Linked DNA regions of Drosophila melanogaster. The protein of the gene in region 1 purifies or fractionates together with the protein of each later gene. This does not show direct contact. Each region holds a gene or a part of one and is shown on either strand. Other genes may lie near its edges.

Evidence for each region.
Region 2: the proteins of EndoB (region 1) and Paip2 purify together in Drosophila melanogaster (affinity purification with mass spectrometry, with the first as the bait; one large-scale study listed by BioGRID). This does not show direct contact.

What each region holds. Positions count from the first base shown.
Region 1 is NT_033778.4:19,306,843-19,312,639, reverse strand, and holds EndoB (endophilin B), read left to right. Parts: upstream 1-1,974; 5' UTR 1,975-2,087; coding exon 2,088-2,165; intron 2,166-2,326; coding exon 2,327-2,824; intron 2,825-2,941; coding exon 2,942-2,977; intron 2,978-3,056; coding exon 3,057-3,247; intron 3,248-3,408; coding exon of another isoform or gene 3,409-3,613; intron 3,614-3,826; coding exon 3,827-4,067; intron 4,068-4,124; coding exon 4,125-4,253; 3' UTR 4,254-5,193; downstream 5,194-5,797. Other genes in the region: Rgk1 (Rad, Gem/Kir family member 1), read left to right, coding at 1-43; Acadvl (Acyl-CoA dehydrogenase very long chain), read right to left, coding at 5,533-5,797.
Region 2 is NT_033777.3:12,979,157-12,986,011, forward strand, and holds Paip2 (polyA-binding protein interacting protein 2), read left to right. Parts: upstream 1-1,889; 5' UTR 1,890-2,231; intron 2,232-4,578; 5' UTR 4,579-4,583; coding exon 4,584-4,727; intron 4,728-4,790; coding exon 4,791-4,891; intron 4,892-4,954; coding exon 4,955-5,084; 3' UTR 5,085-6,332; downstream 6,333-6,855. Other genes in the region: CG7091 (uncharacterized protein), read left to right, coding at 13-321, 380-662, 799-1,040, 1,097-1,261.

The DNA.
Region 1 (5,797 bases):
GGACTCCAAGTCGAAGAGCTGCGAGAATCTGCATGTACTCTAAGCACAGAGATTATCCAAAGTGTAACCCACAAGTTTCCTATAGAGTATGCAAGATCCTAAGTTAAAGAAGAAACAGACTCGACTACTACCGGGGGTATTATTCCCAACTGTACATATTGTGTATAATTTTAGTCTTAATTTACGCTAGTCACTTCCTCCATTAATCATTGTATATAGTTTGTCTAAATATAAAACTATTATTTGTAATTGGTTTTTTATGCTCTTTCGTTTTCCTCTAAGCATGAGTTGGGATAATTTTGAATGCTCGTTGTAATACGGCGACTGGAATAAATTAGTTATATTTTTGATTGAAAGAAATCGTAATACAAAGGAATCCAAATAAAAAGCAATAATTTTTAAAATGAGAAAATAATATTTTACCCTTGTTCGTGGACGAATGAATACCAATTGTACTGATTTTTTGAAGATATGGCGCTTGTCCGCCGAATGAAACTTATTGTTAATTATATACGTGTAGTTATACATTTGTAATGGCATTGAATCTCGTTTTAAAATGGCATAAATATTCACATGAATGTTGATTGAATTAAAAGTTCATAATATAATTGATCGATTGCAAACCAGAAACTATATTAACCACATTGTGCAATTTTGCTTAAATAGACCTAGGGATTATTATGCCGTAATTGTTAAACAAAACCATTTTTTTAAACAAAGAAGCCCATCGTGCACCCACAATCCGCACGCCCTAGGTTTCTCAAGTTAGTCGGGACCATTTCAAAATTAATCAAAGATAGCAGAAATACGAAAGAAACACTAGATTTACACAAGGGCTACTTTTAGGTTCATGTCAGCGTAGTTTTACATTAATGCAATATGTGATTTTACACATGGTCCACTAAATCAAGAGCCTAAGCAAAACCATTTTGTTAACGTGTGCAATGCGACCTGCTGTATCAAATATTGAGGTCGGATCGAGAATTTGTAGATTTTTAACTATTAATGTGAACACTAGTAGTGTAGGGCAAATCACACAACTATTCCATAACAATCTAGATGTCCATTAAATGTATTATAAATGTCCATTAAGTATTATAATCACCAACAATTGCAGCACAATGGAATTTAACGGATTTGGAACATTCAAGGAAACCCCCAAATAATACGTGCATCCTAACATGTGTGTAAGATATCCGATCTATAACAGATAGTTAAAATATATACATATAGCTGTAATTGATTTTTGTCCAGAACTCTGTGTATTATTCTCGCTCAACATGAATGAATATGAATTCGAGCCGAAAACTATATAGGAAAGTGATAAAAGCACACTCGATTTTGCACAGATTGTCATATGATGTATAAGGAAAAGCGAAAGTCAGCCATAAATGTAAGAAGCAGCAGAGTGGTGAAAAGTTATCAATTGAATGCATGTTTTAATTTTTCCGCTCCGATAATATATGTCTAATGAGTGTGTATTAAATGTGAAAAGTTAAATTTAAATGTTTTCCAAATCGTGTTTTATTTTGGGGGTTTAATTACAAGGTGCACGGTCTGCAAGCAGGGTAAGTAAAAATTAGTTTAAATGTTGAAAAATGATTTTCATCCATATCATGATTAATTGACTATGTTATATTGTACAAACGTTCACATTTTTTAAAGCTTGCCATAGTAGCTTTCGTTACTATATAGATACTCACCACACTTGATTTACCGAAACTGTTAGCTTACATAGTATGTAGGTATGTATTTGCTAACAGACAGCTTAATTGTTATCTACTTTGATGTCGTGGCATTTGTTTAATAGAAGTAAATTTCGTTTCACCATTTACATGAAGAATAAAGAAGAAAAAGCTATGATAAATTAAAAATTAATACAATTTTACATTTTACTCAATAGTAGTATTTCCAATTAGAACTCTGTTCCAGTTGGAATTCTTCGGTATATTTGGTATATTCCTGGGAGAAACAATGGGTCACACTACGAAGTAGAGGAAATAAATACAAACAAATTGGGCTGTGTAGCGGAATTTAAATTTAAACTTTATCAACGGCAGTGTTAATTAGCGAACCTCTCGGCAAAAATGAATATAAATCTGCCGAATTTCAATGTGAAGAACCTGGTGAAGGAGGCGGGCAGCACAATATCACGAGTGGTGCAGGTGAACAAATCAATGAATTTGGGTGGCTGAAAAAAAAGCGGGTGGTGGTGAACTTTCGGTGGTTGGGCAAATGACAGATGTACCCCAAACCAATCTCAAGCACTTTCGTTGTTTCTTTGCCCTTTTCAACGGCTCTCCATTGTTTTCAATGACCTTTTCAGCTCACGGAGGAGAAACTGGGCACCACGGAGCGCACCGAGTACGACTTGCACTTCCAGAATCTCGCCGAGCGGGCTGATGTGACCAAGACATGGACGGAGAAGATAGTGCGCGACACAGAGTCGGTGCTGATACCCAATCCTCAGAACCGGGTCGAAGACTTCATCTTCGAGAAGATTGAAAAGTCGAAGCCAAAAAGGTTGAGCAACCTAGAGCACCTGGCTCTGGACATGATCGAGGCTGGGGGCGATTTCGGGCAGGATTTACCCTATGGTCAGGCTCTGATCAAGGTCGGCCAAGCGGAACAGAAACTGGGCCAGTGCGAGCACGACTTTATAGCCACCTCGGGCATTTGCTTTACACAGCCGTTGCGCAAGTTCCTAGACGGCGAAATGAAGACAATTGGCAAGGAGCGAGGCATCCTGGAGACCAAGCGCCTGGATCTGGACGCCTGCAAGAACAGGGTGAAGAAAGCGCGCAGCATGCTGGGTCAGCAATCGGTAAGTGGGTGGGATTTGATGGGGTTTCCTTATTGCAAGGGGGTATGATTGATTGGGTTTCGTAATGGCTTTTTCACTCACGGTCTTTTTCTGCCCTCTGCTGCCCGGAATTTTTAGAAAGATGGCATCTCGCCAGAGGCCGTCTTGGAACAGGTATCAAAACCTTGACCGAGCTCGTGCTCTAGATTTATGGCTAATCAATGAGCCAATTTCTAATTGCGATTTTTTCTAGGCGGAACGGGACTTGCGGGTGGCTCAGGCCGAGTTCGACCGGCAGGCGGAGATTACCAAGCTGCTGCTGGACGGGATCAGCACATCGCAGGCATCTCATTTGCGCCACTTGCACGCCTTCATCCAGACGCAAGTGCGCTACTACAAGCAGTGCGGCGATGTCATGGAGCAGCTGCAGCGTGAACTGGCCAAGTAAGTAGTAGGCGATCGATAGAGAATGACTGTGACTTCCACGTAGGCACCAAACGAATCTTTTCTTGCACACCAAAACACCATGTCCCATCCTTGATGAAACCCGTGGTCCCTTCTGGTGGTCTCACTGTGCGTTATGATATCTGCTTGTGGTCTTACAGAATGCAGCATCCCAAGCCACGCCTGCGTATCAATAGCGAAGACGTTGATTGTGGGCCTCCCAGCTCGGTGTCGATGCATTCTTGTGATTCCGATTCATTAGGGGGGATAGCCCTAGATAGCGATCCAGATCCCGATTTGGACAAGTCGCTTACGAATCTGCTCGAAGACTTTCACATAGAATTCGATACGACAGCCGTCTCCACAGTTTAGGGGTCTTGTTATTGTGATCTTCATATCGAATCGGATTCCATGCCCAGTTAACATTAGCATTTAATTTCAAATCATACGTACTAGATAGGTTGCTGTTATCGGTAGTTGTTGCACTTTGTAAAGTCAGGTTTCAGCAGCTCATCTCTCCATTTAGAGCTCGCTATCAAATCGAATCAAAAACTCATTAAACTCTGCATCTTCCATCAGCTTGGGAGGCCCCACGCCATACATTCCGCTCGACGTGAACGAGGCCAGTGCCAGCAAGTCCAACATATCGTCCGGAGCCGCAGCCCGTGGTCCTGGCAACAATCACTCTGCCAATATGGCTGCCACCGGCCACAAGCCTAATCAGCCCATGCACGTCAGCACGGATCAGATGCAGAGGGCACGCGTCCTTTGCTCCTACGACGCCAAGGATCACACCGAGCTTAATTTGAGCGCCAATGAGGTAAAGTAAAGAACAAATAATATCCTAAGCAATGCTTATATATAACTCATTTTTCAGGTGATCTTCGTGACGGAGTGCTCACCAGTAAACGAGGATTACATGTACGGAAAACAGGGTCTATTGAAGGGTCTGGTGCCACGCGCATTTGTTGAAATGCTCGACGAAGAGCACGATGTCACCCTCTAAGCCCTCCAGCAATTTGTTCAGCAATAATCAATCATTCAATAATCTCAAGCAAAATTAATGAACAAGAAAATACTCCAAGTACGGCAATACTCATATGTTAAGAAAGCAGACACGATCGAGAGAAGGGAACGGCAATTGGACAATTAAAGGATGCGGCCAAAGCGGCATTTGGCACTAGCAAGAGAGTACAATAATTTATTAGAATATACATACATAAATATATACAAGGCATAATATACATACATGAGCGTGTTGGTTAGTAAAAGCATTGTAGATTAGCCTTCGGTAATAATCAAACCCAGATCCATGCCCAAAGAGCTACGCTACTCCGTTGCACAGATCACGCTGTAATCAAATATGCATTCTGGCTGCCTGAAAAACCGTCAAGTTATACATGTAAATTTATGCAATTCCAAACATTATGATTGTTAAATCTAATCGCATATCTAAAGAGAAAGTGCTGTTTTATTAAGCTTCTCTACACTCGAAAAAGTATTATATATGTGTTATGTTTGTCAATATCTTAGTTAACAAGCGAAATTCTCTGTGCTTTACTATATATCCTATAATTATAAACGTAAGTATGAAATTGTTAATCCTATTATCTATATATTCAGCGAAGGCGTTTCCAATTATTATCTAATATATTTGCTGCAATTATTATGTTACCAAATTTTTCGTGCAATTTTTGAAAGTCAATTAAAAGAATATTGCTTGTTACATTTAAGGCAAAACTTTGAAACACCAAGGCGCTTGATAGCTAAAAAATAACAGATAAATATTGTTGAAAACGTACAATACAATAATTAAAAAGTAAACAACGATGATTTTTAGGTTTTCAGCAAACAAACAATGTTGTAATATGAAAAGCGAATTTTTAAACACCAACTATTATACTACATAATTACAAATATATGATCAAAATTAAAACAACAAAACCAAATTAAGTTCGATTTATTTTGTATTTCATTAGATTGCCCGTCCAGCTTTGAAAATCAGATCGAGATGGTAAGTGCTTTAAATTATATTTGTGAGCTTTTCTACGTAAAAGGAATAGAGGTGATTTGATTTCAAGAGTTCTATTATCTGAGTTCATTTATAGATGATCAAGTATTTGTTACTCATTTGTTCAATGATAGTGCATAATCACTTTAGAGAGATTTCGTATGTGAGAGCGAGGTGAACTTTAGACTTCAGCGATTATTATTTACAAGACTTTATTGGCATTCATACTAGGTTAACAATCAAGGGCTTAAAATTCGTATAAAAGTATATTGGTCTAGTTTTGATCCAAGATTCCAGTCGTAGTCACACCGCCATTTTCCAAAGTGGTCTTGGCGATGGTGGAAATCTTCTCATTGAGAGACCTATGATGACTGGATGTGGCAGCCTGTAGATTCTTAATCACTCGATCAGATGCCTGAATAGTGAGTGCCTTGGTCATGTTGAGCTCGTGTTGTGCAGTTGGCAGATTCAGATTGACTGCACGGGATGATCGCGATTGCGTCACAACCATTGCATAAATATCAATGGCTGCATTTGCC
Region 2 (6,855 bases), on another chromosome or scaffold:
GCTACTTGACAGGGCTGTGGAAATCCGGCAATGTATAAACTGTTCGTGACCTGGGCTCATCCCACAGAGAGAACAGCGCTCCTGTCCTTCGCCTACAGTGGTCTTCTGATGGGCTCCATGTTGGTTTACCCGGTGGCCAGTTATCTGAGCAACTTCGGCTGGGAACTGTCCTTCTATGTAGTCGGTGGAGTTGGCCTCTCATTCGGCATTGCCTGCTGCTTTCTCGTTTACGACACCGTGGAGCAACATCCAAGGATATCGAATGAGGAGGTGGATTACCTGAGGCAGGGCAAGAGTCAATTGGGACAGCAGCGGCAGCCAGTGAGTAGTTCCTTGTACTTTTAACTTTAAAATTATAAATTAATTAGCTTCTTTTTAGGTGGTAACCATTCCCTGGAAGAGCCTGCTCGCCGCGCCGCCCGTCTACGCCTTCATCCTGACCCACATGTTCCACACCTACACCTTCCTGGTGATTGTGCAACTGATGCCGCGATTTATGCGCGAGGCCATGGAGTTCGATCTCCGCGAGGTGGGCTTCCTCTCGGCGGCGCCGTATCTGGGCGGGATCTGCTCGAAGGTGATGTGCATCCTGGGTGGCAGCTATGTGGAACGACGCGTGGGTCCTGACCAGAATTGTGTGCGAAGAATGCTGTACGGGATCTGTAAGGCATACCGATAATCGGAGTGCCACAGACATCTATAAAGAACACCTTCCCTTAGTGGATTCCTATATAGATTTCCGTAGCATCTCCAGAAACATCACCAATCTCTCTTTTATATCCCATTTTATAATACCAGGCAGCATCCTGACCACTTCTTTGATTGGGGTCATCATCCTGGCTAATTGTGATGACAAAATACTAGTACTTGTGATGTTTGCCTTCATGATGGCCACTACGGATATGGGTTTCAGTGGCTACTGGCCCACGCTGCTCTACTTTGCGCCCTCCTTCGCGGGATTGCTATCGGGATTGGCCAATGGAATGGCCCATCTTTCCGGATTCTTAGCTCCCCATCTTGTGGCCGCTCTGGTCCACACTGTAAGTTTAAATACAAGTAGTTTATGATTAAACTGATTTATTTATGTACCTCGCAGGGCAGCAAGGATGAGTGGAATGTGGTGTTGATGACGCTGATTGTCTTTAATACGATGGCCATGTTGGTATTTGCATTTTGCAGCAGTACGAACCTACAACCTTGGGATCCTCGTAGCAGAATGGAGAAAACTGCATCACCAAGTGCTCAGGAATCAAATAGTTAGCACTTATTTGTTTAAATGTTTTAACTTTTTTGTACTTTCGAAGCATTTTATTTGTTTACTATAAATGTAGAGTTAATTGTGTTAAAATAAAAACAAAATAAATGTAAATATACAATATACATATCAATTTAGTTTAAAATGATAATTGAACTTTCTTCAACGCAATCTTCAAATAAAATTTTTAAAAACCGCGCCTAGCACATAGTATCTTTCAATCTTATCGATAGTTTTACCGTTGTATAAAGCAAGCTGACAAATGTTTCACAACGACCAGTTTTCTACATTTCAAGTACAAAATTACACAAATATTCAATAATTCAAAAATATGTGTGAAAGCAGACATCTATTGGCAGTCAATGTACTAAATGCTCATATTCTTTACACGCCAATCGATAGCTGTTTGATTTGACGCATAGATTTGGTTTGAGTCCCGGCTGAGAACTGTAAGACGAAGAAATAGCTCATTTACCTACTTTAATGGTGCTAAATCGCATATATCACAATGCTTTAGGAAAAGTATTAATATTTCTAGAAAGCGTATGCTATAACTCTTTGTGCTATACTATATATAGGTGGAAAGACATCGATAGTCGCAGGGGAGTATCGATGCATCGATAGTGCCATCGATGTTTCTCCACCTTGCTTTATTAATCATTTCAATTTTTTTTCAATTCGGTTGCTTGACGTTCACTGACGTGATTCCGCACACAGCACATAGTCGAATACGTTTCGCAATAGAAATATCAAAATTCTCCGTGTGGACTCAATCTGGATTGGATGCAACACTAAATTACCAGTGTTTTCCTCGATTTTCTAGCGACGCAAAATTCTCAGTACAACCCAAAAAAAAAACGGAGAGTCTCTTCAACAACAAAATCAAGCATCATCGATAAAAACAACAAGTCTCCCGGAGGAAGTGGCTCCAAAATATCCAGTGCAACAGCGGACGAACTTCTCGGCAGGATTGAGAGTGAGTAGATCGGATTAAACAAATTAAATAATCCCAAACATTGTACATATGTATATACATTTATTTGTGCGCGGGGAAAGGCGGAAGTCAGAGAACTTGGCTTCCTGGTTTTTCATTTACCTTTTGGCGCTTCCGCCAAAACACTTAAACGTTCACTTAAAACCGCTTCTGGACAAATCAATAAAGGCCAAGTGTCGGATCGGACATTACCTTGGTGTTCCCTACTTACACTTGAAAAAATTTCGTTTAACATGGTAATAAAATTAATCAAGGCTATTTATTGCACATCACAAAGAAAGTTTATGACTTTATCAGTTAATTAACTACAATACAAGGGTATAAAAGTCAATTGCTTTTCAAAATGTCTCAATATAATAAAATTTAAAATCATTTCATATGCCTAACATATACATATACATATATCATCTTTCAAACCTACTAGTAGAAATTCGAATTTATAATTACCAAGTAAAGTGATTTATTGCCTTGAGTGTACTTCAAATAAAACATTAAATGCTAGAAGTCTACTTTTTTTCTTCCTGTGTACGTGTGCGTGGGCCAAGCTAGACTCCAAGTACACGAACCCCAAGAATATTAATGTTTAAACTTTAAACACTTGTTACCTTGAATGAAACAGTGCGCTGTATGTATTATCATTGCCGCTGCTGTTGTTGCTCTTTTTTTTGGGTTGAGGGAGGTTCATTCAATCGGGCACACCAACACCACTGCACTTGAGAGCCCATTTGTGTGTGTGTTTGTTGTTGCCTCCTTTGTGTTTTCTGCATATTCACTTTACATACTAAATGTATGCACGAATTTCGTCAAGTCCGCCGTGCAAATACATTTTAATTTTCGCAATTTCATTTAAAATATGGACGCTTAACTTAACATCTACTTGCAATTCGATGTGCTTCACTCGTGTGCGTGTGTGTGGCAGCACGTACACCAGTAAAGGGCCAGAGTTGCCATCCTAACTTCTTTTTTCCAAGCACTTTGTCTTGCTGATAAAAGCAGCTGATTTTTATAAATAAATAAGTAAAAGTTGGAAGACGCAAAAAATTCAATTTATTGATAGTGCGATTTGACCTACCAAAGGCAATAAAAATCTAGAATGGAGAGTAATCATTATCTTGTGTGGAATAAACATTCACGCAAAACTTGCCTATGTATGGAGAACTGTAAACAAATATTCGCACAGCCGCGGGTAACGAACTAGGCCCTCAATAAAAATAAATAACAAAATATATTATTTTCGATACAAACAATTCATAAAAAATGTCAAACATTTGCTCTTAAACTGACGTGCAATTATTAGTGCGCAAATATTGTAAGCAGAGTAAAAAAGAATGAAATTACGTGATTAAAATATTAATGTCCTAAAACTGTATTATAAAAATATGTACACAATCGAACGTTACAGGCACGTTCAACATGATAGCTAAGCCCACAAACTCCTCCGATGACAATCATCGCCTTTGGCTTATTGCGTTTTGCATAAATACCGCTCTTGACTTTCGTGTTATTTCACACGTTTGCTTGTTTGTTTTTAGCTGATAGCGGCATTTATATACGCCATAAAATGTTTAGCGGGGCTAGAAGTGATACGAGTTGTGAGCCTATACATTTCTAATCGGATGTAGTACTGAATTATAGACTACATTATATGTATATAGCATACAAGTATGTCCACTTATTTGGGGCTCTTTTCGCTTTTGCACCAAAAGCTGAGTCACTTTGTTTTCAAATTTTTGTGTGCCGCGGCCACAACGCAAAAAATAGACATCACTAAACAAAAAAACGTTGCGCAAAAAGAAAAGAGAAAATGTTCACTTATTTATATAAACAAATAGGTATTAGTGTTAGCCACTACACCTGTATAGGTGCGATTTTTGTTTTGTTTATCTCGTGGTAATGACGGAAAACCGGTTTCGTAGAACGAAAACACAACTGCTCCGGCTTCTTGCCGGTTAAATACGATTTGTTTAAATACAGAAGAGCCTGCCTAAGTCAAACGAAGCTAAAAAAAAATTCATTCAATTCATTCAGTAGCACAGCAGAAGAATTTGTATTTTCAATATTCGTTGGAGTAGGCTACAAGAAATATGTATGTTTGAGAACCTCAGAAAAACTCTGAAACTCCTGAGATTAAGTTGTAATTAAGCAATTTATAAATCAATCGAATGCCTTATATATAGACATATTTCCGTGGCACCTCAGATTCAAATGTTTAAATTGTATTTATTAATATAATATATTTCTCATAGTTTGAGCTTAATCGTTGAAATATTAAGAAATATGAGACCAACTGTTGATAAGTTCGCTTTTAGTAATCCAAAATCCCTTACAGCCAATATGTTGTTAAAAGTGCCATCTGTGGACTGGACGGATCAAATAATTTACGTAGTGGACGACGACGAGTCGCTGTCAGACATCGACGATGAGCCAGATTTTTCCGAATACATGTGGATGGAGAACGAGGAGGAGTTCGACAAGAACGTAAGATTAAATCTCCTATTTATGATTAACGAATTAACTAATACATTTGCTATCTGATAATAGGAACTGCAACGGCTGGAGGAGGAAGAGATTATGCAGGAGTGTTTTGAAGCCATGATAGAAGACGAGCTGGAGGAGCAGATCAACGAATGGGAGAAGGCCAAGTGAGTAGTGGCTATCCGGTTAACATTGCTGAATTAAAGCTAATTTGCAATCGCTTATTTCAGGACGGACGAGCAGAACACGGCACTTTCCGCACTACCCAAGAGCCAGTGTGATGTTGAAAAGTCTGTTCTGAATCCGATGGCTGATGAGTTTGTTCCGCGTTGTCATGTTATAGATTTCCCTGCCTCATAAAGCCAGCCCATATCTCCTGCCCGCCACAGAATCACAAACTACCCCGAACCCGTACCACGTGGACCTCATACGCGAAAAACCTTAGATAAACTGAAGACCCATTGCTAAGACTAGACTAACAGATTCCGCTAATGAGATTGATATTGATATTCTGACCAAGTTGAGCCAGATGGAGCATTGGGAGCAGTGGCTCATGAATATCTTATTTCTAGATACCAAAATGCTGGAAAAGAAAACTAAATATACCAACAAACTCCAAATGCTGGCGACCGAAATGCAAACGAATCATATTAAAAAAAAAACCTTATAAAAAACAACTGAACCACTGCAAAAATACAAAAAATATGTTTAAAAGAAAAACCAACAAAGAAACAAAAACACAACTTAAACTAAGAACAGACAAATAACAAAATAACAACTATGCCACGTACATTAGAGTACATTGAAATTAGAGTTAAAACCGAATTGTTTGCCGTGAAATTCGGAGCCCCAGAAATTCCGAACCTAAAATGTTATCGAGAAACGCAGACGCAGGCGCTTGCTGAAGCTAGTGAAAACTTTGGTATTAACGTACAAAACGAAAACAAATGACTTTTTACAAGCAACTAAATCTAAACTACAACTAAACTATGCCAATTTCCAGCTAAAGCAACTGTAAGCAACAAACAAGACTCGATTGTGTTAGAAACAAACCAAGAATTTGTAGCCGTCATGTCGTTAAATTGAAATTCTATTCAAAGACTTTAATCGTAGTTTAAATTGTAATTAATTTAACGTCCCGCCCACTGTCTACACTCGATTTAAGTTGATCATCTTTTTTTAATCTTTCACCATTGTTAACTCGTTGTACGTTCTATGCCCAAGTAACAAGAAGCGCTTGTTAACCTTCCCTACTGACTCGCAATATTTGTAATTTACCAATATAATCTAGTGAACTAAACGAATCGATATACTAATGTTTAACGCCTCTTTATACAAACATCATGCATAAATATGTATATCTAGTGTTAATGGAGGAGACAACAGACAACAACAACGCTGCAATAACAAGTAGTTTGTAATTTTAAGTATAAAATTCGTTTGATGCAAATGCACAAAGCCCTCATCGATTTGTTAATATCGTTAAAATTCGTTTCGGCATGTAGACAAAGATGAATTTCTATTTTTTCAATCAACTTAGATTTAGTGACTTAAGACAGCATTATAAGATCTACTACATTACTTACGTTACGTGTGATATAAAGATACAAAAAAACAAAGCAAAAAAAATATCAAAAATGATTTTAAAAATCTCAATAAAAAGAAGTATTATTATGGCATAAAAACTTGGTAGTTTTATTTTTTTTATATTTTTTTTCTTGCATAGATACTATGGAAAGTGAATCAGAAAGATAATCGAATTTACTGATCTTCATTTATTTTATTAGCATCTGAATTATTATATCATATTGGAAGAGCATGAAAATAATAAGATCTCTAAACATTAAAAATATTCTTTATCAAAATTTCATTGCACGCTTAATCATAACTTTTTACATACTTTTCATACGAATCTATTACTTTACACGAATAAATAAAGAATATATAGTATACGTAAGTTGTTGCGGAAAGGTTTTTGTAATTAAGCAATATAAAAGAAAAACATCCTAAAATCGGATAAATAATAAACAATGATTTGTAGTAATTGAAATTTGATAAAGTTTTTATTGCTTATAAAATGTTTTCAATTTCAAGAATACCGCTAATGCACTGCACTTTCGATAAGTTTTGT